Arabidopsis thaliana: one gene and its partners. The protein of the gene in region 1 interacts with the protein of each later gene in a biochemical or structural test. Each region holds a gene or a part of one and is shown in the gene's direction. Other genes may lie near its edges.

Region 1 (6,740 bases):
AGGGCTACTTACCGTATATGCGCCTACAAGAACCCTCAACAGCTTTATGATAAGTATCGTGAATTAATTGAGAATTATGCAATCCAAACGGTGAGTACCAATGTGTGAAGAAGACACATTTTTTTTTTGACATAAAACAAAAAAAGAGTTAATATAATTTCTTTTTTTTATCTGTGGTTAAGGTGTTGCCATCTTTAAGGGAAAAGCATGATGAATGTATGCTACGAGAGCTTGCTAAGAGGTGGAATGCCCATAAACTTTTGGTTAGATTATTTAGCAGAAGGTTGGTCTATTTAGACGATTCCTTTCTTTCTAAAAAAGGCCTTCCATCACTGAGGGAAGTTGGCTTGAATTGCTTCCGCGACCAGGTTTGACATGCATATACCTATATATAGGTTCTAATTTTTCTCTGCTTCGAAAGTATTTTCTAACGGTCTGTAACTACGTACTTTAGGTTTATCGTGAAATGCAGTCCATGGCCGCAGAAGCTATATTAGCACTTGTAAGTAATGTTATCTGTATTGATAAAAAAAATCTCTTGTTCTGCCTGATCTTTTTTTTCCTCTCGAAACAATATTTGTATTGCCAGATTCATAAAGAACGTGAGGGTGAACAAATTGATAGAGAACTTGTGAGAAACGTAATAGATGTCTTTGTTGAGAATGGGATGGGAACTCTAAAAAAATATGAAGAGGATTTTGAAAGGCTCATGCTTCAAGATACTGCTTCTTACTATTCTAGCAAGGCATCAAGGTGGATCCAAGAGGAGTCTTGTCTTGATTACACGCTAAAGGCATATCTCTAGATATCACTTTTGGAACTGTTTTTCAATTCGATTTCAAGAAAGTATGTTTGTTAATACATGTTAGTAATTTTATGTTGCAGCCTCAACAGTGTTTACAAAGGGAGAGGGAGAGAGTCACTCACTACCTTCATCCAACCACTGAACCCAAACTATTTGAGGTTCGTTATGGTATCATTATTTGGAATTAATCATATTTTTCTACGGGAGATTTTAGCGTTTGAACTTAGTGACATGGTTATATCTGGTAGCATTTTGAGGATATGTAATAGTTATTGGCTTTTTATTTTTTTCCACAATATTATATATTGAGTGATCATTTTTTTCTATTGACGCATTGCAGGTATTGAAAGAGGCATTTCAAATCTTAAAGAGGGGTGGAGGAAGTAAGAAGCTTAAGTGATAAAGATATACTTAAGTAAAGCAAGTGAGAAGCTTAGCATTGAAGTTTGAAAATTTGGGTCAATAATAATTATCTTGCTAGTGTCGCTAAAAATTTGGCAATTTAAAATAAAATCATTTTTATACAATCACTATCATTTCATGCATACTCGTTTTCAAGTTAAACTAAGATTAGCTTTTGTATTTTCCTTCCAAATCGATTAGGCTAAAAGGTTAATAAGGTTTTCAGATTAATATGGGGCGTCCTAAAAAAACATTCATCGGTTTAGTAACTGACGTATAATTGCTTCTTTGATTGCAAAACAAAAGTTTTTAGCAAAACGAAATATATATGTTTCTGAATAAGAGGGTATAACAAGACAAACTTTGGTAATCAATAGCGACTTTGACAAAATATTTCACCAGGAATTTTGTTCATTGGAGGGTGATTTAGCTTTTGTTGACTGGTTTGGGACTGCATGCTAATTGACAGAGGAAAACAACAACCCGACTTCAGAAAGTACCAAATAGCTAACAGCTATAACTGAGCCTAAAACTATGAAAAAACAAGACCAATCAAAGCTTAAAGTGATATTGCATCAAATTAAACACAAACAATTTTGTCTACATAATTCTCAAACCCTTCACTAATTAGATGCTTTATATAAAAGATATCAACCAAAACGATTTTAGTATTTCAACTCCAGCCAATCAATATCTCAGAAATAATGTTATTTAGTATGTGACAAAGCATGTTCTAGTCTTTAGAGTCACTAGAGAGCCCAAATGGTGAAGTTTTTTGCAGTTGGATTGTTTTTTGCAGTTGAGTGTGTTGAAACTGTCAAGAAATAATGGTAAATGTGGAATATCTATCCAATGATCATTACATTGATGATTCTTGTTCCATAGATTTCTTCTCTTTTTTGTTCATGATAATTTATTTACAGATTGTGACATATGCACAAGTGTTGTGCAAAGAATTGAGAGATCCTCTTTTGTTGTATGTCTAAAACATTCTTAGTTTTATCGATCAAAGTAATTAAAGTACATGAACAATTTTATGGTATCTATGTTGTGGCTCAGCATCATGTGTTTACCAAATGTTCACATTTTCTTAAACATGCTCTTTTTCACACTCGGATCAACTTATTCAATCTTAACTTAAAATAGAGTATTTAAAACACTTACTGAGACAATGTTGTGTTTAAACAGAAATGATATCAAACAACTGAACAAGCAAATGAGAGACACATATTTGCATAAACTAATAAATTTTTATGTTACTACTCCCAAATCAGTCCATGATGGCTAATTCTTCATCCTCATATGTATTATTCAAGCAGCTGTATAAACATAAATTTTTTGACTCAGAAGCTTAATTAAAATTTTGATCTTTACAGTTTTCGAAATGCTTACCTCAGGATAAATAACAAGAGTAAATAAGGATTGCTTGAAGTTCAAGCCTCCAAGGTGTTGGACTCAAATTTGTGTTGGATTGAAGAATTTGGAAGATCGTCTCTCAATTGGGGTTTAAGCGAATTTTGATCAGTTGGGTAATTATCCAATCTTTTGGGGACTACGTTGGACGGTTTGTGGGATTTTATCTCTGAAAGCAGTGTTTTCATTGAAAAATTGGGAAGATCGATTGTCTCTTAGATTTTTACCAATTACATGAGTTGTGAGTTAATTAGGGTATCGTATCTGACCAGTTGTGTTTATGTTCTGCTTTGTGTTGTCCATTTTTTGGGACTATGTGTAAATATTATTACTTTCTAAAGCAAATATGTATCTAAATAAAAATAATTGACTTAAGCCAAATAACAAAATTGACAAAACCAATTCCATTTATCCCATTAACCGGTTATAACGTTAGCAATCATAAGAAAAATAGAAATCACCTTAAGACTGCATCGTTTATAAAATATTTTGTTGGAAAATATTGAGGAAAAAATAGAAAATAGGATCGAGCTAAAAAAGGAAAATATCACTACGAGATCTAATTAAAAGACCTCACAAGATTTCGGACGCGCATATTAGATATGATTTTTTACGCGTGTTTCACCAAATTATGACCGTTGTGGTGGCCTGTGGGATTGAGGAAACCTAATCTTCTAAGTCTCTATATATTAAAGAGTCATCATAGCCTTCTCGTTGCACTTCCCATTACGATCGAAAGGTCTCTGCTTTTTTTCCTCTCTCACGATTTGATCAAAGTTTCGTCTTCTCTCTCTCTCTCAAAAGATGGCTCCTCGTCAGAAGAAACCTAACAAGTCTGATGATGATGATGATTTGCGTAGGAAGAAACAGAGCTTTTTCAAACAGAGATTTCCAGGCTTTAAGAAGAAAGCCTCTGAGCTCTCTGTTCTCTGCGGCAACTCTGTCGGTTTCATCTGTTACGGTCCCGACAGCGATCTTCATGTTTGGCCTCAGTCTCAAGATCATAACCCACAAGCCCTACATGAGATCGTTGCCAAGTTCAATGCCTTGAGTGATGAGAGGAGGAAGAATCATGCATGTGATCTCAATGACTTCCCTCATCATCTCAAGGGTTTGTCTCGTGAGGAGTTAAGGAAGCATCTCCTTCACCTTGACTCTCAATTACTTGGAGTCAGGGAACAAAAGATAGAAATTCTTAAGAAGACGCTCACGGGTTCTTCCGAAAAAGATGGTGCTAGGGTTTCAGAGAACTCGGCCATCTCCGATCACAAGTTGAAGATAGAGCCTCATTTGAAGGATATATTGTCGGAAGATCATCTAATTAGGGTTTCAGATAAGAAGCTGGGTTCGTGTGATGTATTTGACGAGTTGGCTTACGTGGTCCGCGGGTCAAGGAATTTGAACGAGAATGTTTCCAAGTACGAATCAAAAGATGCAGATAACACGGGACTGGATCATCTTGTAACTTTAGGCGGTGATTATCTTCAGGAGGCGGCAGCAGAACTTTACCAAACTTACAATCTAGGGAATTTTTGTGATGATCATGTTTGGGATCTGGAGTTTGCCTCAAGACTACCACTACTTCATACTTTTAGCGATCCTCTCATGACCACCAATACTTGCCAAACGATGAGCACCGATATGATTTCAATTTGATAACTTGATGACTACGTTAGTGAAACATGTTTCTTTCACCTTTTCTCGGTGATTGATCATTTTTTAGTATCTAAACTTGTATGTTTGCTCCAACACAAATCTATTTTTGTAAAGTTTTGGTAGTGTTTTCTTGTTTATTATTGATTAATCAAACTTTTCCTTTCTTTCTGTTACTTAAATGCTGGGCTTGATAGTAGTATAAGAAATTTGTCCACAAAGCACACCGCAAAGTTCCAAAAGCTAAAACCCTTGTACCTTGGAGTCTCTGCATGTGAGAAAGGAATATGAGAGTTAAAAAGAGTTTTTTCGTAAGACACCAAATCATCTACAATGACGATGAGCGCAACTTTCTATCAGTGAGCTTGCAAGCTAGCGTTCTTGACTTCAGAAATGTGATTATGATTAATAGTTGAGTTAATCTTCCTTACCAACTTTAAAGAAAGAAAACAATCACTATGTCATACATTCTTCAGGGGTTAAACATGTCGGATATGAAAGTAACCAAAAGAATCCTCATTGAGATAAGCAAGTAATACCTTCCAACCTGCGAAATTGTTCTTGTCTGGTGATTCTAAACAGAAAGAATCTTATTCTTGTTTTAGCTCTTTTGTTCTAGACTAGACACTAGTGAAAGTGAAATTTCAAGAAAGGTTACAGGATCATACCTTTTGTTTGGTGGAAACAGAGGATTCTGAAATTCCTGGCTGTGGTCACATACATACATCAATCACATATTTACTAGTTTCTAATGAGAAAGTTCAGCTTGGATTCAGTTCATCTTCTCTCATCTTTAAGGTCCGAACTATGTCCAAACTTTGGCAATATATTTCAACAAAGACTCTAACATTCTTATATGTGAGTATGTGACGTTGTATCTCAGTAACTTGCTCATCCAACTCTCTGCGAATATTCAGATTCTTGATTCAGGAGCTCCCAAAACTTCGGAATTCCAAATGACGTACACAATTGCCTAAAACACAAGTCTCCTGCTTAACCATGAATAGTTGAGTGAATCAAAATCTCACTGAACAACGTTGTACAAGAAATCAAAGTTCACGATCAAACTTACAAGCATATCCATGAAGATAAATGAGCGAAAACTAATTACTTGGCGTATATATCAGTTTTGACGTTTGGAGCTGGGAAGAAAAATGAAACTGCAAATCAAATAATGTCACCACATTAAATTATTTCTGATCGTGTCATTATTCAACTGATAGCTGTTATTATTTCTGGTCAACCTCTTATTTGTTGTCTCTTAGTAAAAGTTTTCTTCTAGATTGAACAATGTTTTAAAATTTTGACAAGAAGAAAAATTAATTGTTTACCGATTTAAAGACAAGAAAGATCTAAGTTAGTGTATATTTAATTAATGCAGCTTTAGTTTTTTTTGTTATTTGGTATTTTGTCAACAATTTTTTTTTTATAATATAATGTTCATTCCACGATCTTCGGAATTGTGCACATCCGTCGTTCACCAACATAATTCAAAGGAACCAGCCAATTAAACTTAGAAAAATATTGATGCCCATGTCACAACAACGAAGACCGTTGAAACGACGGTGTTTTACACAGCCAACGAACAAGTCCAGCATGGCGGTTTTTGAGAACCAATAAGAAATTAAATGTATTGTTTACTCTCTAGAGTAAATTTATTAATTTTTAAAGAATTCATAATATTCCATAAATTAATAAGTTTACTAGCAACAAAAAGGTCTGAAGTCTGTATCTGACGATCACGCGGCCTAATTGCGCGTGGCAATTTCTTCAACGCGGATTTTTTTTTTCCTGCCATTTCTTGCATCAACGCGGATTAAAAAAAAAAAAAAAAGTGTTTTCGGTAATAACCCGAAAGAGAAAATACGTATCGGAAAAAATGCAAAATTTTCAAAAACATTTAATTTTAATTTTAATTTCAAGCCAAATTCGGGAGCGACTTTCCAAAGACGAACAAAGCCATTGAAACGGAAGAGAAGGCTGCTCCTTTGGTCCTCTCTGTTTCTACCGTCGATTCAGATCTCTGCCTCTCGCAATCGAATCAATTTGTGTAACGAATCGACGCGAATTATAGTGGTGAAGAAGTCGACAATTCGATTGTTGTGTAAGTTGACGAGAGGATTGGATCGGTGTGAATTCCTCCTAAATGGTTCGATCGGGTAGTTTTAGCGTCGATTCTTCGGCGACTCATCAACGGACTCCGTCTCGAACGGTTACGTTGGGTCATATTCAACCACAGGCTCCGACTTATCGTACCGTTTATTGTAATGATCGGGAATCTAATCAACCCGTCCGGTTCAAGGTACACCGGAGTCAATTGATGTCGTGTATTGTTTCTGAATCGATTAGGAGATATGTGCATTGGAATTTGTGCTGTTTGGATTCATCGATCTGATTTTTTCTCTATTTTTTGTTTAGTCTGATGAATGTTTGATTAATTGTTTCAGGGTAATTCGATTTCTACAAC
Region 2 (7,879 bases), 120 kb from region 1:
GAGAAGCTGAACCGGTTCACTCTTGAGAAACTTTCTCTGCTTTCTTCTCCCATTTGGAAATCGAACGCTGATACTACAGACAACGCTTCGATCACAGTCTCCTTTAGGCTCTTTTGTCAAAACTGGGAACTCAAACAGGTCGCTTGACAAACAAGTTTCCTCCTCATCTTCGGATAAAGTCACTACATCATCAAATTCTCGCCCGCAAGAAGAAACCACGACGCTATCTGATGACAAATTCCCCTTATGTATGAGATTTAAGTCTTTTCATCAGCTGCCTCATCAAAATCGTCAAAATCATCGTCCGTAAAACCAACCATGTCTTGTTGATCAGAGTGGCAAATCTTTTCTGCTTTTACGCGCATGTTCCTTGCCGTAGAAGCAATATGTTCGTGAGGACTAGCATCAATATACTTCTTCAAATCCTTAAGAAAACCCTTAGCTTTAATCTCGCCCCTCCATATACATATATTCTGGCCAGTAATCGGATCGATAAGGACTAAGGAGCAGCATAGGAGGAGCACAGTGTTGGATCATATAGAAGCTAGTGATTTTTCTTCCTTCACTGGTATGATCATAAACTTGCCATAACATAAACCTAAACTCAAGGGCTTGAGAAACGTCTTCGTTTGACCATAAATCTCGGTTAAATGTATTACAAGGAAACTCAGTTTCGGATTGGATATGAACAAGCAACCATAGATCTTTGCTAGAAGAAGCTAGTTTCGCGTCTTCGAACGAACCATTAAAAAGCAGATTTAGAGGAGGAGGAGGAGACAAGGAAGGCAATCTAGTAGAGTCGGAAGGTTTTAGTGTCAAAGTTTGATTATTTCTCATTCTGTCGATGGCAAATAAGAGATTGATGGCATCTTCAAGCTTCCAATTTGTAGACTTTAGACACTTTATAGCGGTTTCCACAGTTTGATCTACAGAGATATTGAGGAAAGCTGAGACCAGTGTTCTCTGATAGTTACTCTCCATTGTTTTGCCGTTCAAAGAGAAAGAGAGAACAAATTTGTATGAGTTTTAATCTTTTGTTTTGTACGTCTTTGCTTCTATTTCTTTGTTTATATAGAGAACTTGATAGTATTGTTTTTCTTCCTTTTTTCACTCCAATTTGGTTCGAGAAAAAATCGGAAATTTCCTTATCACTTTTTTGTTTTGTTTATAATAACTTTATCGTTTTTTACTTAAACTTTATCGGTCTATGCCTATAAAATAATTCAATGAACTTTTTTTTAAATCACGCTAAACTTTTTACAATTGGAATTTTTTTTAGTTACATATTGATAAATATTAGGATTCATCCCGCGGTACACGGCAAGCGTAGGTTTTTATTCGGTTTCCATATTATATTAGAATGTATTATTTGTTATTTAACAAAAAATATAAATTTTTATTGTTGTTGATTAAATATTAATTAGTAGAAGTAATTATTAATGGGGTTTTCTAAAAAATGTTAAATATGAGTATTATTTGTTTTAAATTTGTTAATTTGCAAAAAATCCTAGGATATATTAACTTGAATATCTTCTTGATTAAATTTGTGAAACATTCATTTTGATTAATTAATTTCTTTTCTTTTGATTAATTAGTTTTTTAAAAGGAAAAATGTTATTGAAAGAAATCTTAAAGTTAAATGACTTTCTCAAATCAATTACTATTGGTAGCAGAGGGGGAGAACCAATCAAGCCCTAATTCCTTTAGAAAACCCTTTTAACAATCAAAATAGTATTGGTCAAACAATATTTCTGCATTAATTAGTTTTTTCATATTTAGCAAAAAAGAATTAATTAAAAAATTCATCCCTATTCGACTTCACTTTCTCTCTCTGCCTGAAAATTTTGATCGGTTTCTGGTTTCTCGGCGAAAGAAGTAAAGTGGCCGACAAATAGTGATCTCGTGAAGGAATCAGTGTGTACAGTGGAAGAAGATGATACATTTGGCTGGATTTACATGTTGCTTAGGCGGCGTCGCTCTTTATCTTCTTACCAGGAGCACAGGCAGGTTAGGTTTTTTTTCTTGTCTTTACTATTTACGAATTACGATAACTAGGGTTTACTGTTATTCGGTGGTAATGTTCTTCTTTCGTGGGACAGAGATATCAAATCAATCACTAGGGTTTACCAACTCAAGGATTTGGGTAATGTTCCTGCATTGTTCTGCATTTCAATTTTAGGTGGATGGGTTTTGGTTATGTGTTTGATATCATTCGTTTTTATTCAGAACAATTAGTAGAAGTAGAGAGCAAGGTGGTACCTTTGATCATCGCAGTATCAGGAGATGTTGGCTCTGAGACTCCTATTAAGTGTGAGCATAGTTATGTTCTCGGTGTATTTCTCAAGAGAACGGTATGTATGAATTGGATTAGATAATCTAGTTTTTCGTTTCTGTGATTTTGGATATGTTAAAAAGAAACGATTTTTTTCAGGCAGAACAACAGGTTTTGAGACGTAATTGGAGATTTTCATGGGTTCGAAATAGTACATTGATGCAGCCGATGACTAAGGAAGTCCCCTGGTATCTGGTATGTCTGTTGGACTTTGATTGGAGTGTATTACTTTCTAAAGTCATTTACAAAATATGATATTGGTTGCCTATAGGACGACGGGACAGGTCGTGTGAATGTAGATGTATCTCAAGGTGAATTAGGCTTGGCGTTGACGGTTGGTAGTGATGTATTTGAAAAGGCAGAGCCGGTATCGCTTGTTCAAGGAGCGTTGGGTTATCTTAAAGGCTTTAAGGTCTTTTCTTTTCCTTTCCTACCACTTTTCATTGATTTGCTTTTGTTTTGACAATGCTTATACATTGTGGCACCATTGTTGTCTATAGATACTTGGAGTAAGACACGTTGAGCGTGTTGTCCCAATTGGTACACCGCTTACAGTTGTTGGTGAGGTATGTCTTTTATCTGTTAGCGGTCCAAAATACGTTTTATATCTCTCTTTGTTATGTTGCTTACCATGTTAACAGGCTGTTAGGGATGGCATGGGGAATGTCAGGATTCAAAAACCTGAGCAAGGACCTTTCTACGTCACTTATATACCGCTAGATCAGCTCATCTCTAAATTGGGAGATTTGTCAAGGTTGTTTCTTTTCTCTGTTTTTGCCTATTCTTTTCTTCGAAAACTATGATTGAAAAAAATTCTAAAAGATCTCTTTCTTTTGGCAGGAGGTTCAAGTATGCCTCCATGGGTTTAACTGTTCTTGGTGTGATTCTTATTTCAAAGCCTGTGATTGAATATATTCTAAAGAGAATTGAAGATACTCTAGAAAGAAGGCGGCGACAATTCGCACTGAAAAGGTATGACGCACCCTAACCACAGCCACGTATGAAGTATTCATTGCGAGTTGCGAGTTGCGAGTTAAGTGTTGGGTAACTTGTTGCAGAGTTGTTGATGCAGCTGCTAGGAGAGCCAAACCAGTAACTGGAGGTAGTAATAGTATCTATCCATTAGAGTTTGTACTTTGTAGTAGTAACATGTGAATCCTTTTTCTGCATACACTTGGAATTGCTCTGCTTACAAAAACGTCTTACCAGGTGGTACAAGCAGAGATGGTGATACACCTGATCTCTGTGTGGTTTGCCTTGACCAGAAGTATAACACCGCTTTTGTTGAGTAAGTATAAGACCGCTTTTCTTCTAAAAGCTCTTGAAAACCCTCTCACTGATCAAACATGGCATCTTTTGATTCCTCTTTTTGTTTGGTTTGGACTTGTAGGTGTGGTCATATGTGCTGCTGCACACCATGCTCCTTGCAACTAAGGACCTGTCCTCTTTGCCGGGAACGAATACAACAAGTTTTGAAAATTTACCGCCATTGAAGGACAAAACTCAGAACGATTTTTACAAGCGAACAATTACTAGTCTTGTACATATAGTAAAGCCTTTGTATCATGAGTTTTTGACTAGAAATTTTTTTGCATTGATAGATTGTGATTGAACAAATGCTAATATAAATTTCAAGCTTAGATTTACATTTACTAATGAAGTTATATAATCACGTTTCGATGTTAAAATAAGAAGTGAAAAAACGTGAACGGCAGGATTCGAACCTGCGCGGGCAAAGCCCACATGATTTCTAGTCATGCCCGATAACCACTCCGGCACGTCCACTTTTTGTTAATTCCTCACTATCTTAAATATCTAATTACCGTTAATTATTACAAATCAGGTTGGGCTTAATTAAGCCCAAAGTTAAAGACAGATTAGTGAAGGAGACAGAGAAAGAAACAGCTCTAAAATGGTAATGAACGAGAAACTAGAGAGTCAACGGTCATAGCGTTGACCAAATCTCTCACTCTCACCAGCCAAATCTCTCCAACTTCCTCTTTCTCTCCACCCAAATCTCGCCGGCGATCGTCACTGACGAATCTGATTCGTCCCCAACACTCAACGGGTAAGCTCTCTCTGCAAAATTCAGATCGTTCTAGCTCAATCTCAACATCGGATCAAGATTCAACTTTTGTTCTTTTCTCTTAAACAAAGCTTTTGATCATTAGTGAAATCTAAAATATTAACCTTTGAATCTGTAAACTTAAGCTTAGAGAACCCTAAGATCAAAACTAAAAATTTGATCTTTCATTGTCACTTGTTGGAAGCAATTCAAAATTCTGTGTTGTGTATATTTTCAAATTTGTGGATTGTTCCAATTTCGATAAAGTTTTGATTTTTATTCCTTTTGTTGTGTGTTTTTATAAGGAGGTAGAAGAATGGCGACTCCTGTTGATCCACCTAATGGAATTAGGAATCAAGGGAAGCATTACTTCTCAATGTGGCAAACACTTTTCGAGATCGATACCAAATACGTGCCTATCAAACCGATAGGCCGAGGCGCGTACGGTGTGGTTTGCTCTTCGGTTAACAGAGAGAGTAATGAGAGAGTGGCGATCAAGAAGATCCACAATGTGTTTGAGAATAGGATTGATGCGTTGAGGACTCTTAGGGAGCTCAAGCTTCTACGTCATCTTCGACATGAGAATGTGGTTGCTCTTAAAGATGTAATGATGGCTAATCATAAGAGAAGCTTTAAGGATGTTTATCTTGTTTATGAGCTTATGGATACTGATCTTCATCAGATTATTAAGTCTTCTCAAGTTCTAAGTAATGACCATTGCCAATACTTCTTGTTCCAGGTATGTGATTTGTTTGCATTTGCTTTTACCATTAGTGTGTGTTGTTTGCATTTGGTGTTTGCATTTACTTGCTTTTTATTTCTTTTGCATAGTTGCTTCGAGGGCTCAAGTATATTCATTCAGCAAACATTCTCCATCGGGATCTGAAACCCGGTAACCTCCTTGTGAATGCAAACTGCGACTTAAAGATATGTGACTTTGGGCTAGCGAGGACGAGCAACACCAAAGGTCAGTTCATGACTGAATATGTTGTGACTAGATGGTACCGAGCACCAGAGCTACTCCTCTGTTGTGACAACTATGGAACCTCCATTGATGTCTGGTCAGTCGGTTGCATATTCGCCGAGCTTCTTGGAAGAAAACCAGTATTCCCGGGAACAGAATGTCTAAACCAGATTAAACTCATCATTAACATTTTGGGTAGCCAGAGAGAGGAAGATCTCGAGTTTATAGATAACCCAAAAGCCAAAAGATACATAGAATCACTCCCTTACTCACCAGGGATATCATTCTCTCGTCTTTACCCGGGTGCAAATGTTTTAGCCATTGATCTGCTTCAGAAAATGCTCGTTCTTGACCCTTCGAAAAGGATTAGTGTCACGGAAGCGCTTCAACATCCTTACATGGCGCCTTTATATGACCCGAGTGCAAATCCTCCTGCTCAAGTTCCTATTGATCTCGATGTAGATGAAGACGAGGATTTGGGAGCAGAGATGATAAGAGAATTAATGTGGAAGGAAATGATTCATTATCATCCAGAAGCTGCTACCATAAACAACAATGAGGTCTCTGAGTTTTGAGATCAAGTCTTTTGCAGGTACTGTTCAGAGAGATCTTTCAACAACTTAAACTTATTTATTTTCATGTTTGCTTCTTGAAATGTTGTTAATAATAGTGTCGAAGAAGAAGAACAATAACTTTAAATTATGTGATATGTTTGTGTCATGGAGCTTTGTTTTGTTTTTGGTTACAAGCTTAAGTGTCTGTAACGTTTGTACATAAGTGTATGTGTCCTTAAAACTTCATACTCTGTCTCTGATCTTATTGTTGGTGATTTTTCTTATTGAAGATTTTCGAATGTTCAAAGAGCAAACCATTGGATTAAATATGATTTTGAAGATAAATGTATTAACACAAAGATATACACTGTTTAAAAAAATTCATGAAATAAAACATATGCATAGAATATCAAAATAAAATTATTTGGGAAATAATTTTCAATGATACATAGAATGTTCCATAGATTCGTAGAATTTTTATAAATGTGTTTTTGACTTTCATGTACCTAATTCTGAATTCAGACTTAGTATATTGTGACATTAATAGAAGTATTAATTGCTTTGTTTGATAAAAATATTTTGATGTCTATCACACACTTAAATTTAACTTAAATGATAGAAAAAATGTCAATAATTAGTAACATTTATGCTTTGGAAAAATATTTTGATGAACAGCGTGTGAATAAGAATCTTTTTTTACTTTTGTAAATGGAAAAATGTAGGACTGCACTAATTATTGAAACCATTGATGTGAAAAAAAAATCAAGAGCCAAAGAGATAAAGATTCTAGAAGACCAAGTCAAGTCTTCTCGTCGATTAATAGTCAATGAATGTTCCTCATCATCATCTCTTTGATTTATGCGTTTGATGTCATTGAGTCATTTCTATACCATTCCGCCAAAAATTCGTTTTAGTTATCCATATGAAATTGCGGTTGGACTATTAAGTCTATAATTTGATTAAACTAATAAGCATATGATGATGAAGCAGTTTATACTTGTAAATCCTCTATTTTATCCAAAACTTATGATCAAATGATAGAACTAGGATGCAATGTTCAATCTCCTTTGGAGGGACCAAAATCTGCCACAAGACACACCACTTGCTTGGTATTTAATTTTCCTTTTTATCTTTCCATCTTCTCCTTTAGGATACAGGGGATGTCTCATGAAATGATGTATAGTTTATAAAATTATCTCTAAAGTCTAAACACAGAGTGGCAAACCGAAAATATTATATAAAACACGTAGTATCGAGCAAAACAACACTTAATTGTGTCACATGTGACATGTGCATACATAATAATACAGAAAACTTAACTAATAAAGCCACCAACATTATGTGAACAATGGTATCAAGCTTTCGAGCTAAGTTAACGAACCTAACTCGTGATTAAATAATGATTATTACTAAATTCAGGGAAAACACTTTTATAAACAAAAATATAATTTGCAAAAATATTATAACTTGCTTTACCCGATGGTAATTTCTGTTTACAAACCTGTATATTTCTAAATGCCCTTCCTATAATACACACACATACACATCAAATTAGTTGCCATGCACACATCAAATAAATTGCCAAAAACATCAATATCTATACATTAAATCATAAATACTTGGAAAACTCCAACTAGCTTTTGGTTATAAAATTACTAAATATAGTTTAAAATAATACATCCGTCGTGGAAATTTATGAAAGATAGACTTCTTTTTTAGCTTATGCCCCAAGGAAGTCAATCAATAAGACCAACGTTATCAACATACGTGATCGATGATGTTCTTTTATTCCTGGAAACTTCTTATAATCACCCACACAAAAACAAAAAAAAAAACAAAATATTAAATACAAAATTCTGAGATCTTGACATTTTGACCAAGTTGTAACGCTTCATCATCTGATCCGGTCAAATTCTTAAATCCTTTTTCTATAGTATTACAATAAAGAAAATATTATTGTCGCG
Region 3 (7,534 bases), about 19 Mb from region 1:
AAGTTAACATTTATTACTTAATTGTATAATATATAGAGAACAGTAACATGGTTATGAAGATATATTAAAACCTTGATGATCTTGACAGCAGGTTTGTTGATAGTCCTTAGTCTCTTCTCGATTTCTAAATCTTCAACTTTAGAAAGGCTCTTAGCTTCAACAAAGTCATTGTTATGATTTATAATTATGTTACCAAAGATGCAACACATTAAGAACATCCATATCACTTCCATTTGAATCAACAATAGAGAGAGACGAGAGAGTTATTGATTTTGAAGCATGGAAGATAACCCTTTAATATATAAGGCTGGAGGAGGAACAAAACATTTTTCAATTAATTCAAGACCATTGACCAAAATTTTTGGGGAAAGAGTTTTATGGTAGATTAATCAATTAGCATTGACCAAAAGTAATTAGTGTTTGTTCAACAATTCCTGAGATAAAAATCTGTTAATATTATGAATTAACACATAATACCATTGATTTAAATCATTTTGGTAGATTTACAATAGGGCTAATAAGTATGTCTACTTTCTACTTGTAATTAATTTCATATCATTGTATTATATCTATAGTAGCCATTATTTTCCCGATTTTTCCTTGAAGACAATAACATTAAAACAAAAAATCCATGAATCAATATGTTTTGTTTTTACAAATTCAAGTTCACGAAGTACTTTGCAAAATTTTTGTTAGCCTTCTCCGATTGAGTTTCGGCAAAGGGTTGTTTTCTGTGTTAGTGCGCCTCTTGTGTAGGGGTTTTCGTCGATTGGTCTCCTCCGAGTTGGGACTCATGGGTTTGGTCGTTGGGCCTATTAATGTTATGGGTTGTCTCTCTTGTTTCGGTTTGTTACCCTTATTTGTTTGTTTTATTTTATGTTTTTAATCTATGTTAACATTTGTAAGGAATTAGCCCAATATGTTTACATCTCCATCCTCTATCTTCACGCGACTTCATCATCCTCTCTGCCAAGAGTAACAAATTATCAATAACCTGAATCAACGATGGTAGCAATTGAATCGATCATTTAGCTGAAGCTTAAACTTCACGAAAATTAATTTATATCATATGAACGTAATACATATATATCTCATAAGCAAACATCCATTATTTCTTTGTTTCTCTAGTTTCATTTCAAGAAACCCAATAAAAGAGTGAACAAAGGTCCCAAAAAAAAAAAAACATATTAAAGACCAAAAAGAAAAACACAAACGTAGGAAGAAACAAAACCAATATATGTTATCGATCGATGGAGAAGTAGTGACTCTTTTGATTCTTCGATAGTCAAAATCATCCCAGAGAGATTGAATTGTTTCTTTAAGCAGCGACGACTTTGTCCTTGGCGGCATTCTCTCCTCCTCCTTCGAGCTGGCTCAAGTTTCCTTTCTCCTTGATCAGCTGAATATGATGATGCTTGCAATATAGCTTACCCTCGTGAGCTATGTAATTCGAAGGGCTTATCGTGCAGCCTCCATGTGTACACTTGAAGCAGCTCTTGTGGTACAATGTTCCATTCACCGATACCTACACAAAGTCCACATTATAAGCAATGTTTCAGCTCTGGTTTAAGCCAAGAACAGATCAGATTCGTTATGGAAACAATCTAACAATCTTCTTTGACACAACTTGATTCTGATCAGGAAAGATTTGAGATTGGATACCTTCTCAATTGGATACACGGTTTTGTCGCAACCAACGCATTTCTCTCGTGTTCCACCAAACATATTCGAAACTTTGGTTCCAGCAGGTCTCTGTTAAACTTCTCTCATGTTAAATGTTAAAAAAATTCAAGAACCTCAAAAACAGAAAAAGGGTTTTGTTCTGCTGTCCGAAAGTACCTCTCCCTCCAAAGGCCTATCAGGTTTCCCAATCTTTGGTGTCCCTGTACATATATATGAATCAAACTTTAGATAGATAATTCCAAATTTGAAATCCCCACTCACAAAGCTTTTCACATTTTGATCTGTTTTTGGTAATTTACCTTCGAAGCTTTTCTCAAGACTTCCAGTTCTCTTGAAGTTTTGATCGAAATGTGGTCTGCAGTAGAGAACTCCTTCAAAGGAGTTGTAATTGCTAAGCTGACTCATCAAGAAGAAGAAGAAGAAGAAGAAGAAACAGAACAGTCAAATCTTTAGACCAATCAGTTTCCATAGCCAAAAATTCAAAGATTTCTACTTAATTGATTGGACTTCTTCATCTACATATATATCTACTAGATCTACTTCTGGATTAATGAGAAATCATCACAAACTAGAATCAAAGATCAAACCTTGAGAGTTCCTTTGCAATGGTGACATCGGAAACAAGCTTTGTGGTAGACCCGGTTATCGGCGGTTAACTTGTCGACAAGATAAACTGTTTTGTCACATGCCATGCATTTCTGGGTTGTTCCTGCGAACGCCATTCTTGTAAGAGATCAGACTAAAAGACTCAGGAAAAAAGAAAGAAGCTCAATAGTCTTGAGAGAGAGAGAGAGATAAAGAAGAATAAGATGAAGATGAAAGAAAGAGATTGTCAATTATTGTTGCTTGTTTTAATATGGGGACCAGATATATTGAAAAATGAACATGCTTCTTCTTTTTAAATATTTAAAGTAAAATTCTTTTAGGAAAAATTGAAATTTTTAATAAAATGTCACAAACAAAAAAGTTCAAGATGAGTATCGAATTTTGGATGCAAATTCGAATATTTGGTGTTTCTGACAACCCTAGCATTGTTTTTCGTGGTTGTCTAATCCACAAAACAAGATAAGCGATGAATAAATAAATAATTTGAACGTTAGCAACAAAACTAAAAACTGTACTACAAAAAGAAAAGGTTTCAACGGCATTTTTTGTGTTCTTAATTATTTTTGTCCAAACTTGAAGTAACCCGTCAATATCTGTCTCCTAGATATTTTGCTTATATTTTTTTTACATTAATTCAGTTCTTTTATATCTAGAGTCAGGTAATTATTTAGAGAATGCATGCAGTTGCTTGACAGTGCGTAAGATTTACACAAATTTTTCTCAACAGTGAAGGCAATGCTCAATAGTCAATAACTGTTTGTAAGGAAATAGAACAGGGAAAACCAACTGGAAAGAATCTTTGTCTGGTTTTAGATAATGATTAAAAGCTGTATTGGTTATGTTGAATTAGTTGGAAATCTCTAAATATCTATACACTATTTATTTTCTTTAATACTATATGTTGTGTAGTGTGTATATGAATAATGAAAATATCTGAAACATGCTTTACCATAAAGGCTTTTGATGAGCTGTAGTATTGACATAATTGGTTGAAGAGAATGAGTGATCATAATGATACCTAACATCTTTTATTTAATCAAAAATACCTAACGTTATTTTTATTTGCTACTATAATAGACTCCAACCAATTTATTAGTATCATTTTATACAGTTTCTAACATTTTTGCCACTGCTTAGATTTATGGGCTTTCCCTTTCTGTCTGCATGGGCCTCCTCTCTTATATTAATAATCTGACTTAATGAAAACTTTTAAATCTTTTGTAGTTTATTTTCCTCTAGATGCTAATTTTAGCAAAATGAAAAGATGTGTGATGGAAACGTAAAGTTAAAGCAAAAGAAGATGGTGAATTGGTGATGCAATATTTTAGTCATGTGTCATTGTTTACATTTATGATATATTTTACTTTAAAATACTTTTCTTCATTTTCAATTTTTATAAATCTTCGTAGAACACATATTCACAAATGATGCTACTTTGGTGATCAGTTACTAAAAAATACCGAAATTGATTTTAGAAGATAGAGACGTGAATCTGTTTGCCAATATTAATTGGGCTCAACTTAAGCCCAAATTATATAAGGAAAGACTACCTAGTAACGAACAAGTAGCAGGTCAACTGTCCGAGCGTTGGCCAAATCTCTCTCACTTCCACAGGTTTCTCTCTCCGGCCAAATCTAACCTCCGGGGAACGTCGTTGGTCACTTATCACCGGTTAGAATTTCCTTCCCGCTTTATCCCGTAAACTTTTTTCCCATTGATTCCGATCGTTTATGTTCCTTCACCAAATCGATAAAGTTTGATCTTTTTCCTTTTCACTATTATTAACAGACCAATCTGTTTACACAAGAAATCTACAGTAACTTATCACTTGAAAAGTTTTGATAAATAGTTAGTATAATAATTTGTTAATTGTGTGTGTAAATTTGATTTCTTGATTGTGTGTGAATTGTGATGAAGAGGGAAAACAAAAAATGGCGACTTTGGTTGATCCTCCTAATGGGATAAGGAATGAAGGGAAGCATTACTTCTCAATGTGGCAAACTCTGTTCGAGATCGACACTAAGTACATGCCTATCAAGCCTATTGGTCGTGGAGCTTACGGTGTTGTCTGCTCCTCTGTTAACAGTGACACCAACGAGAAAGTTGCTATCAAGAAGATTCACAATGTTTATGAGAATAGGATCGATGCGTTGAGGACTCTTCGGGAGCTCAAGCTTCTACGCCATCTTCGACATGAGAATGTCATTGCTTTGAAAGATGTCATGATGCCAATTCATAAGATGAGCTTCAAGGATGTTTATCTTGTTTATGAGCTCATGGACACTGATCTCCACCAGATTATCAAGTCTTCTCAAGTTCTTAGTAACGATCATTGCCAATACTTCTTGTTCCAGGTGTGTGGTTGATCCCGTTCATTTACTGTTGGTTCTAGCTTTGCTTTCTCCTGAAATTTTGCTTTGCTTTGTTCTTTTTGTGTAGTTGCTTCGAGGGCTCAAGTATATTCATTCAGCCAATATCCTGCACCGAGATTTGAAACCTGGTAACCTTCTTGTCAACGCAAACTGCGATTTAAAGATATGCGATTTTGGACTAGCGCGTGCGAGCAACACCAAGGGTCAGTTCATGACTGAATATGTTGTGACTCGTTGGTACCGAGCCCCAGAGCTTCTCCTCTGTTGTGACAACTATGGAACATCCATTGATGTTTGGTCTGTTGGTTGCATTTTCGCCGAGCTTCTTGGTAGGAAACCGATATTCCAAGGAACGGAATGTCTTAACCAGCTGAAGCTCATTGTCAACATTCTCGGAAGCCAAAGAGAAGAAGATCTTGAGTTCATAGATAACCCGAAAGCTAAAAGATACATTAGATCACTTCCGTACTCACCTGGGATGTCTTTATCCAGACTTTACCCGGGCGCTCATGTTTTGGCCATCGACCTTCTGCAGAAAATGCTTGTTTTTGATCCGTCAAAGAGGATTAGTGTCTCTGAAGCACTCCAGCATCCATACATGGCGCCTCTATATGACCCGAATGCAAACCCTCCTGCTCAAGTTCCTATCGATCTCGATGTAGATGAGGATTTGAGAGAGGAGATGATAAGAGAAATGATGTGGAATGAGATGCTTCACTACCATCCACAAGCTTCAACCTTAAACACTGAGCTCTGAGCTCAAGTCTTGTTTGTACGGGTAATTTACAGAAAACTTCTTCTTCTTATGTCTGATTGTCATCATAGACTCATAGTGTATATAGTCTTGAAAAATAAGATGAAGACTAACTTATAGTTTAAGCGAATAGTGATGCCATGGAAGCTCTGTTTTATTTAATTACAAGCTTGATGTGTGTCTGTAACATATGTACATAGAGAGAGCTGTTTTTTTTTTTTAATTACAAGTTTGATGTGTGTCTGTAACATATGTACATAGAAAGAGCTGTGTTTTTTTTTTAATTACAAGCTTGATGTGTGTCTGTAACATATGTTCATAGAGAGAGCTGTGTTTCTGTTTCTCTGTTTGTTTGTTGCGTTCTTGCAGAACTTTTAACCCTCTCATGCAATCCAAGCCTTTTGATGAATCAAGTTTTCATATAGTTGTTCTCATATAGCTTAAATCTAAGAATATCAACAATTAAGCATTTTGTTATATGAATATTTGATGATCACACCATGATCATAGGCCTTCGGATTCATAGAAGGGGTAGGCCTTTGCACCGAACCTAACTTTCCAAATCGTAACAAAAACAATGTATTGTTTTTCTTTCAATTTCTTAATGAAGTTCTATAAGATAATTTTGGTGAGTAGTATCAGTACCCTCCTCATTCATTTATCACATGATATGCTTCATTTTTTTGTCAACACATGATATGTTGCTTCTATTGGTTAAAAAGCCTTAAAGGCTAAAAGCTTTTTCTTCTACACCAACTTTCCTTCTCATAATTCATTTTTCTTTTCATAGTATATAAATAACTTGGAGGATTTTCCAATTTTTGTAAACCCATCAGAAATTTAAATTAACAATGAATATTCCAACTATATGTTTATGGTTGAATCACTTTTGTCTTTCTTTCTCCCCAAGTCAAAACTAAGTTAAATTAACAATTAGTCAATTACTTATGATAAACCAAAAAAATATGATTACACCATCATGGAAATTTTTTTGCAGCTTCTTCCGCAAGAAAGTCAATTTGTAAGATCAGCAAAATACATCTGGGATGACGTTTCATTTGGTAGAAACTTATCTTCTATTCGTCCTAAAAGAGAACAAAAAAAGTGTCAACAATACGTGATCTGATCAATTCATCACATTTAATGAGATCTGGTCAAATCACCAATCCATTTGTGTATCTGAAATATTTACAATTAGTTTAAGACAAGTCTCATTATGATAACAATAAAGCCGTCTCTCTTGTCCAAATACTAAATCCTGCCTAACAACTCCTCCGTAACCAAATTCCTTCAAGCTCTCAAATTCTCACAACCTCTCCACACAAAGGACCAGTAACAGAAAAAAAAAAAAGAGGATATTGTTGATTGGACTGAATTGATTTGATATGTTGAGTCCGTTTTCGTCACCTAGGAGATCGAGAAGAGGAAACAAAGAAAGCAAGAATCCTTATTCAAATCAAGGACTTGACAAGTTCTCTGCACTTCTATCTGAGCTCGATGAGAAAAGACAGAGCATTTACGCAAAGAGGCTTGATCCTGATGGACCGCCTCTTGTTCGGTTTGTCTTCACTAGCTCCGGCGAGTGCGTCCCTGTAATGATCAAGACAAAGAGGGCAAGTCAGAAGAAGGATGTTCTAGATGATTTCAAGGTCAAGAAGAAGGACGTTCTAGATGATTTCAAGGTCAAGAATAAGGATGTTCTAGATGATTTCAATGTAAAGACCGAATCAAAAACAGAGCAGGAAAAAGAAATAAAGCAAACAGATTTGGAAACAGAGCAGAAACAGAGCTGTGTATTGAATGAGAATCTGAAGAAGATTTCAAGACCAAACCATTTATTACCCGTGACAGTGGTGCTGGTTCTAATATTATTGGTGTTTTTCGGACGGACCGTCTCGATCATGTGCACTTGTATCGTTTGGTACTTGGTTCCAATGATCAAGGAACAGAGCAGAAACAGAGGATCAACATACGAGACGAAGAGGAGGAAGAAACTAAATATTGAAAACAGAGCTGCTCCTGATAAAAGTGAAACCCGGTGACGAAAATCAAAACTTTTTCTTTTTTTGTGAATTTCTTTTATTCGTTTCATCTAACATTTTCCTTGGTTTCTTTTGTT
Region 4 (8,028 bases), on another chromosome or scaffold:
GTGAATTCATAGAGTTTCTTTATGAATGCAAGAAGGTGCATTGTGGTTGAAAACAATGTTCTTACTCTTTTTTTTTTCTTTGTATCTCTTAGGATTTTGAATTTAAGGAAATTGATGAAGTGTTGAAATACTACCCTCAAGGACACCATGGAGTCGACAAGGAAGGAAGACCGGTGTACATTGAGAGGCTAGGTCAAGTAGACTCTACCAAGTTGATGCAAGTCACAACCATGGATAGATATGTGAACTACCATGTGATGGAGTTTGAGAGGACTTTCAATGTTAAGTTCCCAGCATGCTCCATCGCGGCAAAGAAGCACATTGATCAAAGTACAACAATTCTTGATGTCCAAGGAGTGGTACGTACATAACTGAATGGTCATTTGTAGAAACTATAATAGCCAATAATGACCAAAAATGGTGTATATATGATAAAAGGGGCTGAAAAACTTCAACAAGGCAGCAAGGGATTTGATTACGCGTCTTCAAAAGGTCGATGGTGACAACTATCCAGAGGTGCACTTTATATTATTATCATCATTGGTTTATCTTTTATGAATGATTCTTGCTCTCTCAACTTTTTTTTTTCATTTATCTGTCATTGGCTCAGACCTTGAACAGGATGTTTATCATCAATGCTGGCTCAGGATTCAGGATGTTGTGGAACACGGTTAAGTCTTTCCTTGACCCAAAGACTACAGCAAAGATCCATGCAAGTATACAAACCCTTTTTATCACTCTTGACTGATATAAATGAGAGATATTCTTACTACTTAGCTAATTTGATATTCAGGTTCTTGGCAACAAGTACCAAAGCAAGTTGCTTGAAATAATTGATGCTAGGTGAGCTCTGCAAAAAGTTTCTGCATGAACACTCAAAAGATTAGTATTTCTCGAATGACAGACTTCTCATTTTTCTTTGTATCAGTGAGCTGCCTGAGTTCTTGGGAGGTTCTTGTACTTGTGCTGACAATGGGGGTTGCATGCGCTCGGACAAAGGACCATGGAACAATCCAGATATTATGAAGGTTTGTTTTCTACAACTTCTTTGATCTAGTAAAGCAACAACAACACTCATAGTTAGTTTCTTTCTTTCTATATGAAAACTAAGATGATTGTCACCGTAAACCTAACAGAGAGTTAATAATGGTGACCACATATGCTCAAAGAGATCTCAAGCTGATAATGCTGGAGAGAATATTATCTCTCAGGGGAATAACTCTGCAGTTGAGGAAGCTCCTGAAACTGACCAGTCACAGCCCTCTCCTTGTCAAAATGTAAGAATGACACTATTTTCCTTCATGAGGCTTGTATTCTCCTTATATTTCTTCCCACATCTCAGGTCGTGGTTGCTCATCCAGCTTGGAACATACCAGAAGCTCACAAATTTTCCCTCTCAAAAAGTATAAGAGATCATGTGCAAATTACACTACTAAAGAGACAAATACTACTCCTTTTTAAAAGAACTTGAATTTAAGTACTTCTCTGTTTTTGAACAGGGGATGTTTACGCCATTCAAGAAGCTTGCAAAGCTACAAATGAAAGTGGAAGGTCTCCTATTTTCACTGGAGTCATGGCTTTTGTAATGGGTGTAGTCACCATGATTAGAGTGACTAAAAACGTTCCAAGGAAGCTAACCGAGTCAACTATATACTCTAGCCCGGTTTACTGCGACGAAAACTCGATGAACAAGAGCTCGATGCATGGGAAGAAAATGGCAACAACAACCATCTCAGGGGAAGATTTCATGGCGGTCATGAAACGAATGGCTGAGCTTGAGCAGAAAGTCACAAACTTGAGTGCACAGCCAGCAACTATGCCTCCTGAAAAGGAAGAGATGCTTAATGCTGCCATTAGCCGAGCCGATTTCTTGGAACAAGAACTTGCTGCAACCAAGAAGGTAACACAAAACAAAAAAAACTTTCATATATATTACTGATTTGTTCTCAGCTTTCACTATCTCACACTAAAGAGTTGTTGTATCTTCACAGGCTCTTGATGATTCTCTTACCCGACAAGAGGACCTTGTGGCATACGTTGAGAGAAAGAAGAAGAAGAAGAAGCTGGTCCGCTTTCAAATCAATGCCTACTTAACTAATTTTTGTTTTGGTGTTTAAAATGGTGTTCTGTTTTACTTTTTATCTCCATGTGCAGTTCACTTGGTAAGTGAGGAACATGAGGAAGAAGAAGCCTCTAGTGGAGTTAGAGGTGGCCAATGCACTCATGTCATTAACTTAAATCTTACAGTCACATTAAAATTAAGAGAATCTCCAAAGAAAGAATTTTGTTATGTCTCTGTATATATATATCATCCTTAGATGTTACCACTTATCCGCATCATATGCGAGATCATGTTTGATTTGTACAAAAGAAAACAATGAATTTATAAGAAATATATTTTGTAAAGTAGTTTTGTACAAAAGATTAGTGTGCAAACATTTTTAACATCAACGTATAAAATTCAAGTACACTTTATATAAACTAAATTACTAGGGTTGAAGATGAATTGGGGCTTGATGGTTTGGAGAGACAGAATCTTCGAAGATCTATGGAGAAACTCAAAGTTGATTGATAATCTGCGTTCGTCAACTGATAGGTTTACTCAACCATTTGCCACTCAAATTAGTTATGTCATCATCTGATGTTAAATCCATCAGCCACACTTATCCTTTTTTTAATCTAATCCTCAAACCTCTCCGAAAGAGACAGAAGGTCTTCAAACCAAGAGTGGTTTTGTAGTTGACCACTTTTTGAGGCTTTTAAGTTAGGTTTAACTACACCCAGTGGAAACTTCGGTTCGGACAACAACAAGAAGTTGCTCCCAATCTACGTTTACCACGTGTCACTTTTTCAGTCCACCCACGTGCTTAGCCGGTTACTTGATCCATTTAAATCCTCAATTTCTGTATTCGTGTACGTATATTATACCAAGACAAATTCTACTTAATAAATATCTTACTCAATCTTTTTAATTAATTACAAAAATTCCTATGCATTATTTTTTTCTAATTACCAAATATAGTAATAACAATCCTGATTTGTATGCAAAAAAAAAACATGAAGAGTCCATTAAACTTTAGAGATTTTTTAATTAAAGATAGTTTGTAACTGAAGTTTTGTTACACAAAAAATATCTAATCTAAAAAGAATGTCGTTTTCGTAATTAGAAGACTTTGTAATTTGTTTTTTTCCTAAAAAACGAAAAGAAGTAACCAAAGCTTCTTCATCAACCAACGTATTTTGCTTCCTTTCTTCTTCTTCTTCTTCCTCTTCCCCTAACATTCCATTCCCCGTATGGGTCTCACCACTTCCTAACTCTTCTCTCTCTTATCTCTTCTTGTTTTAGCTATGAAGAAGCAATCTCAATTCAGATCCAATCATACCCTTCTCTTCTTTCATCTCTGATCATTAACAACAACAACAACGACTCGGGTTCTGTAAATTCAGTTATTGGGTATGTTCGATCTCTTGTTCTGTTTCTTCTCTTTATTCATTTAGCTTGTTTTAACTCTTAATTTTTGAGTTTTGATTATGATTAATCAAGAGTTATCATATTAAAAAGAGAATTTTTATAACCAAAGTTTGCTTTTTTCTTATGGAGTAGTAAGATTGATAGCTAAGTAAAGGAAACGATATTAAAAAGAGAATTTTTCTTAGTTGAATTTCACTTTTTGGAGACGTAAAGGAGAAAAAAGCTTCAATGATTCATAAATCGAAAATTCTCTATAAACCCTTTTCCAAAATCTTACCAATTTAGGGGAAAAATACTGAAAGTTTTGGTTTTTGCAGAGAGAAAATGGCGATGTTAGTTGAGCCACCAAATGGGATTAAGCAACAAGGGAAACATTACTACTCCATGTGGCAAACATTGTTCGAAATCGATACAAAGTATGTTCCGATTAAACCCATTGGAAGAGGAGCTTATGGTGTGGTTTGTTCTTCTATCAATCGTGAGACTAATGAGAGAGTTGCTATTAAAAAGATTCACAATGTGTTTGAGAATCGTGTTGATGCTTTGAGAACGTTGAGGGAACTTAAACTTCTTAGGCATGTGAGGCATGAGAATGTGATCGCGCTTAAAGATGTTATGTTGCCTGCTAATAGATCCAGTTTCAAGGATGTTTATTTGGTTTATGAGCTAATGGATACTGATCTTCATCAGATTATTAAATCCTCTCAGTCTCTTTCTGATGATCACTGCAAGTACTTCTTGTTTCAGGTAACTTTAAGTCCTTCCTCGGTAACTCTATGTTTCGAGTTTTGTATGTTTAGTTATTGAAATAAGTCTTGTTCTTGTTGTTGTGTTTAGTTGCTTAGAGGGTTGAAGTATCTTCATTCTGCAAACATACTTCACCGGGATTTGAAGCCCGGGAACCTCTTAGTTAATGCGAACTGCGATCTCAAGATTTGTGATTTCGGGTTGGCGAGAACGAGCCAAGGTAATGAACAGTTCATGACTGAGTATGTGGTTACACGTTGGTACAGAGCACCTGAGCTTCTTCTTTGTTGTGATAACTATGGAACCTCCATTGATGTATGGTCGGTTGGTTGCATATTCGCGGAGATTCTTGGTAGGAAACCGATTTTTCCAGGAACAGAATGCTTGAATCAGCTTAAGCTAATCATCAACGTTGTTGGTAGCCAACAAGAATCTGATATTCGGTTCATAGACAACCCGAAAGCTCGAAGGTTTATAAAGTCTCTTCCGTACTCAAGAGGAACTCATCTCTCCAATCTTTATCCACAAGCCAATCCTCTAGCTATAGATTTGTTACAGAGGATGCTTGTGTTTGATCCAACCAAGAGAATCTCTGTAACCGATGCGCTCTTACACCCGTATATGGCGGGGTTGTTTGATCCTGGATCCAATCCGCCTGCACATGTCCCAATCTCTCTGGACATAGATGAAAACATGGAGGAACCAGTGATAAGAGAGATGATGTGGAATGAGATGCTTTATTACCACCCTGAAGCTGAAATCTCAAATGCCTAAATCAACATCAATGATCATTAAGAGTAAGCTTTTTCCAGTTTTTTTTTTTTTTGCTTTCTAAAATGCAGCTTTGATGTTATGTTATATATAGCGAGTCCACAAACGCGGGAACAGATCGATAAAAAGCCCGGTGCTTTGATCTCGTCTGGTTTGATTTAGTTGCAGTGAGTGAGTAGTAGTAACAGAGTTTGAAAAGTGGCTCTCAGTATCTTTACCACTTTGTAAATGTGACTGTTTGTTACTAAGTAAGTTAAGGCTTGTTTTTGTTACATTATCTTTGAGTTGATGAGTTTTACTACTGATTTTCAGGCCAACTCTTGTATTTTGTATAGCTTTGCCATTGCCCACTTGCTAGCCACACGAAATAATTTTTTATAGTTTAGATACTCTCATACTATAAAGTATAAACTAATAAAAGTATAGATGTTATTTTCTCTAGTTTTTATCCTACCTTTAAAAAGCCGCCAAACATGTTTTCAATTCATTATAAGGGAAGATTGGATAATGTGTCACTTCATATTTTTCGTTCTTTTTAGTACTACCAAAACAATTTCAGAATATATTAGTAATCTTATAAATAATGATCTAAGGAAGTGTGCTATTTTTTTCAGTTCCAATATGAAGACTAGTGTGTTTTAAAAATACTTTATTTTATAAGTGTATTTATTTCAAAGGTGAATTAGCTAAATAACCAATTCCTGAAAAGAAATTAAATATCTAGCACCATAAGTTGCCGAATTCAGAGAGTAACACATGAGGTGTGTGTAATGACAACACACTCTTTCACCACACACTCCTTCACCCAACTCTTTCATTCATGTTTAAGGCGCGTGAAGAAAACAGAAGTGTAGTGAATTATGCTGACGTGGTCTTTTAAGGAACAATAAAAGTTTAAGTTATGTTGAGAAGAGAAAAGAGAAATATGATTAAAATATGTTCACCCTTTTTAATATTGTTTACTATATTATGTTAACAATATTAATTGGTTAAATTAATAATACTATTAAAAAAACAGATTTTTTTTGTGTATCTAATATGATTTGAATTTTAAAAATCGGATACGAATTTCTTAAAAAATGAATAGTGATACCAAATTCTATACATATCATCATAGAAAAATAGAATAGTACTCCCTATGTTCCTTTTTGTTTGATTTTTTAGAAAAAAAAATTGTTTCTAAAAGATTGATTTTTTAGGTTTTCAATGCAATAGTTATTAGTTATAATTGAGAAATTGTAAACTTCAATACAAATTATTGAATATAATTGGTTTAGAGTTATTGAAAATTGTAAATCCCAAAGAACAATACATTTAAAAGCAACATTTAATATGTTTTATTAATATTTGTGTTTTTTCTAAAAAATCAAACAAAAAGGAACAGAGGGAGTATATATTTGTTCAAACCAAAACTTTGATTCCGATGAATCCAAATAATCAATTAAATATTTTTTGATGGAAGGATACTAAACCCTAAGATAATATATAGGGAACCCAAGGGTTTTAATCTAAAATAATGATTAAATCACTTAACATCCTTAATCAAAACAAACAATTCGTTTTAAAACGTATATAGTACAATGTATACGTAAATAGTATATTCACAAAATAGAAAAGTATCTCTCAAAAATCTTCCAAAATCAAAATCGATTTATTGGCTATTTCCCTTTAGAATTTCCAACATCGTAAACCCTTTATCGCTTCTAGATCTAAGAAATCCATAACATGATTGTCAATTTGTTATTCATAATTCTCAATTTTATTTTCCATGGATTTACAAATTAAAATTCTCATATGAACTTTGATGGGAAAGTGAAGATTAATTTGACATAATTGGCGAAAAGATTTCCCCGGATTTTTCTAGTATTCTCTGGCTGACGAAGAATAAATATAGTCAGAGTATTATTGCGCTAATGGTGTTGTTATAAAATAGAGTAAATCAGATTTGAGTGATCCTATCGACATTTAAGATTGATCCATATATAATTTTGACTTTTGTTCAGTTGATGGTGATGTATGTAAAGATTCGTAAGAAAAGGGAGAGAGAGATGAAAGAAGCACACTTCATAAAAGAGAAGAAAATTTATTCACTAGGATGTCTTTTGAAGAAGAAAGAAGAAGGAGAGCGAGATGTACAAACACAGTAAGAGAAGGGAGAGAGAGATGAAATGAGCACACTTGATAAAAGAGAAGAAGATTTATTCAATAGGATGTCTTTTGAAGAAGAAAGAAGAAGGAGAGCGTGATGTACAAACAGAAGATAGTATTGTCAATATTACATATATTATACATAATATCTCTTTCTATTGTTCGAAGTGTTAGTTTATCAATTAAAATATTTTTGTTGGTTATATTTGCTAATTCCCCTTATCTCAATTCTAATAAATAAATGATAAAAATATTCTTACAAATTTGTCTTTTAGGTGAAAAAATTGAATACAATTCAAAAAAGAAAAATAAATTGAGAAGCCAACAAAAAGGAAAAAAACACAGCATACACTAAAAAGAAAAAAAACGAATGGATTGAGAAGATATAGGGCTGACCTAAACTTTAAGAGGGCCCCAAGCACAACTCAAATTTTGTGGCCCATGAGCTTAGAAAATATATATCTTATACAAAAAAAATAGACAAAATGAAATCAACGACATAAAAAAAAAAACAAGGAAATCTAGCCCACCTGGTTAGAACAGTAAACTCATTTTTGAGCAATGTGCTGCTGAGTTTGAAGGCAACATTAATTTGTGGCCACATCAATAAATATATGCTTGAAAACTCCAACTCCAACCCCTAGTTTCTATATTTGGCTCATGTTCAGGTCATAAAATTTAGTCAATATACTATTTTTCTTTTTTAAATGTGTATACCAATTTATAATTCTTATATATTCATCAAATTTCTTTAATAAATGTAATCAATTTGTTAAAAAGTTCAATATATTTTTTTTAACATATAGATTTATTGTTTATTACAAATAATGAAAACAATTACATAGAATATTCTATAACGGACAATTCCTTCTTATCCTAATTAGATCTAC

What was found.
Region 2: of the proteins of AGL50 (region 1) and MPK2, one has a biochemical effect on the other in vitro, tested with the Arabidopsis thaliana proteins (one large-scale study listed by BioGRID).
Region 3: of the proteins of AGL50 (region 1) and MPK1, one has a biochemical effect on the other in vitro, tested with the Arabidopsis thaliana proteins (one large-scale study listed by BioGRID).
Region 4: of the proteins of AGL50 (region 1) and MPK7, one has a biochemical effect on the other in vitro, tested with the Arabidopsis thaliana proteins (one large-scale study listed by BioGRID).

What each region holds. Positions count from the first base shown.
Region 1 is NC_003070.9:22,005,180-22,011,919, forward strand, and holds AGL50 (AGAMOUS-like 50), read left to right. Parts: upstream 1-3,327; 5' UTR 3,328-3,424; coding exon 3,425-4,276; downstream 4,277-6,740. Other genes in the region: AT1G59800 (Cullin family protein), read left to right, coding at 3-90, 183-368, 455-502, 590-793, 886-993; ALA3 (aminophospholipid ATPase 3), read left to right, coding at 6,420-6,575, 6,721-6,740.
Region 2 is NC_003070.9:21,879,808-21,887,686, forward strand, and holds MPK2 (mitogen-activated protein kinase homolog 2), read left to right. Parts: upstream 1-4,210; 5' UTR 4,211-4,400; intron 4,401-4,702; 5' UTR 4,703-4,713; coding exon 4,714-5,136; intron 5,137-5,228; coding exon 5,229-5,936; 3' UTR 5,937-6,244; downstream 6,245-7,879. Other genes in the region: AT1G59550 (UBX domain-containing protein), read right to left, coding at 1-243, 318-456, 599-981; ZCF61 (E3 Ubiquitin ligase family protein), read left to right, coding at 1,934-2,007, 2,100-2,143, 2,227-2,351, 2,432-2,527, 2,604-2,744, 2,833-2,898, 2,974-3,086, 3,173-3,304 and 3 more.
Region 3 is NC_003070.9:3,345,359-3,352,892, forward strand, and holds MPK1 (mitogen-activated protein kinase 1), read left to right. Parts: upstream 1-3,723; 5' UTR 3,724-3,960; exon of another isoform or gene 3,961-4,206; 5' UTR 4,207-4,220; coding exon 4,221-4,643; intron 4,644-4,728; coding exon 4,729-5,418; 3' UTR 5,419-5,822; downstream 5,823-7,534. Other genes in the region: AT1G10190 (NEP-interacting protein, putative (DUF239)), read right to left, coding at 72-233; WLIM1 (GATA type zinc finger transcription factor family protein), read right to left, coding at 1,319-1,525, 1,663-1,752, 1,840-1,883, 1,983-2,079, 2,271-2,405; AT1G10220 (ZCF37), read left to right, coding at 6,801-7,457.
Region 4 is NC_003071.7:7,905,143-7,913,170, reverse strand, and holds MPK7 (MAP kinase 7), read left to right. Parts: upstream 1-3,130; 5' UTR 3,131-3,454; intron 3,455-3,789; 5' UTR 3,790-3,796; coding exon 3,797-4,219; intron 4,220-4,309; coding exon 4,310-4,993; 3' UTR 4,994-5,397; downstream 5,398-8,028. Other genes in the region: AT2G18180 (Sec14p-like phosphatidylinositol transfer family protein), read left to right, coding at 93-359, 439-516, 611-712, 794-843, 929-1,028, 1,137-1,277, 1,343-1,403, 1,500-1,900 and 1 more. UniProt on the Arabidopsis thaliana protein: MKK3-MPK7 module acts as a positive regulator of PR1 gene expression.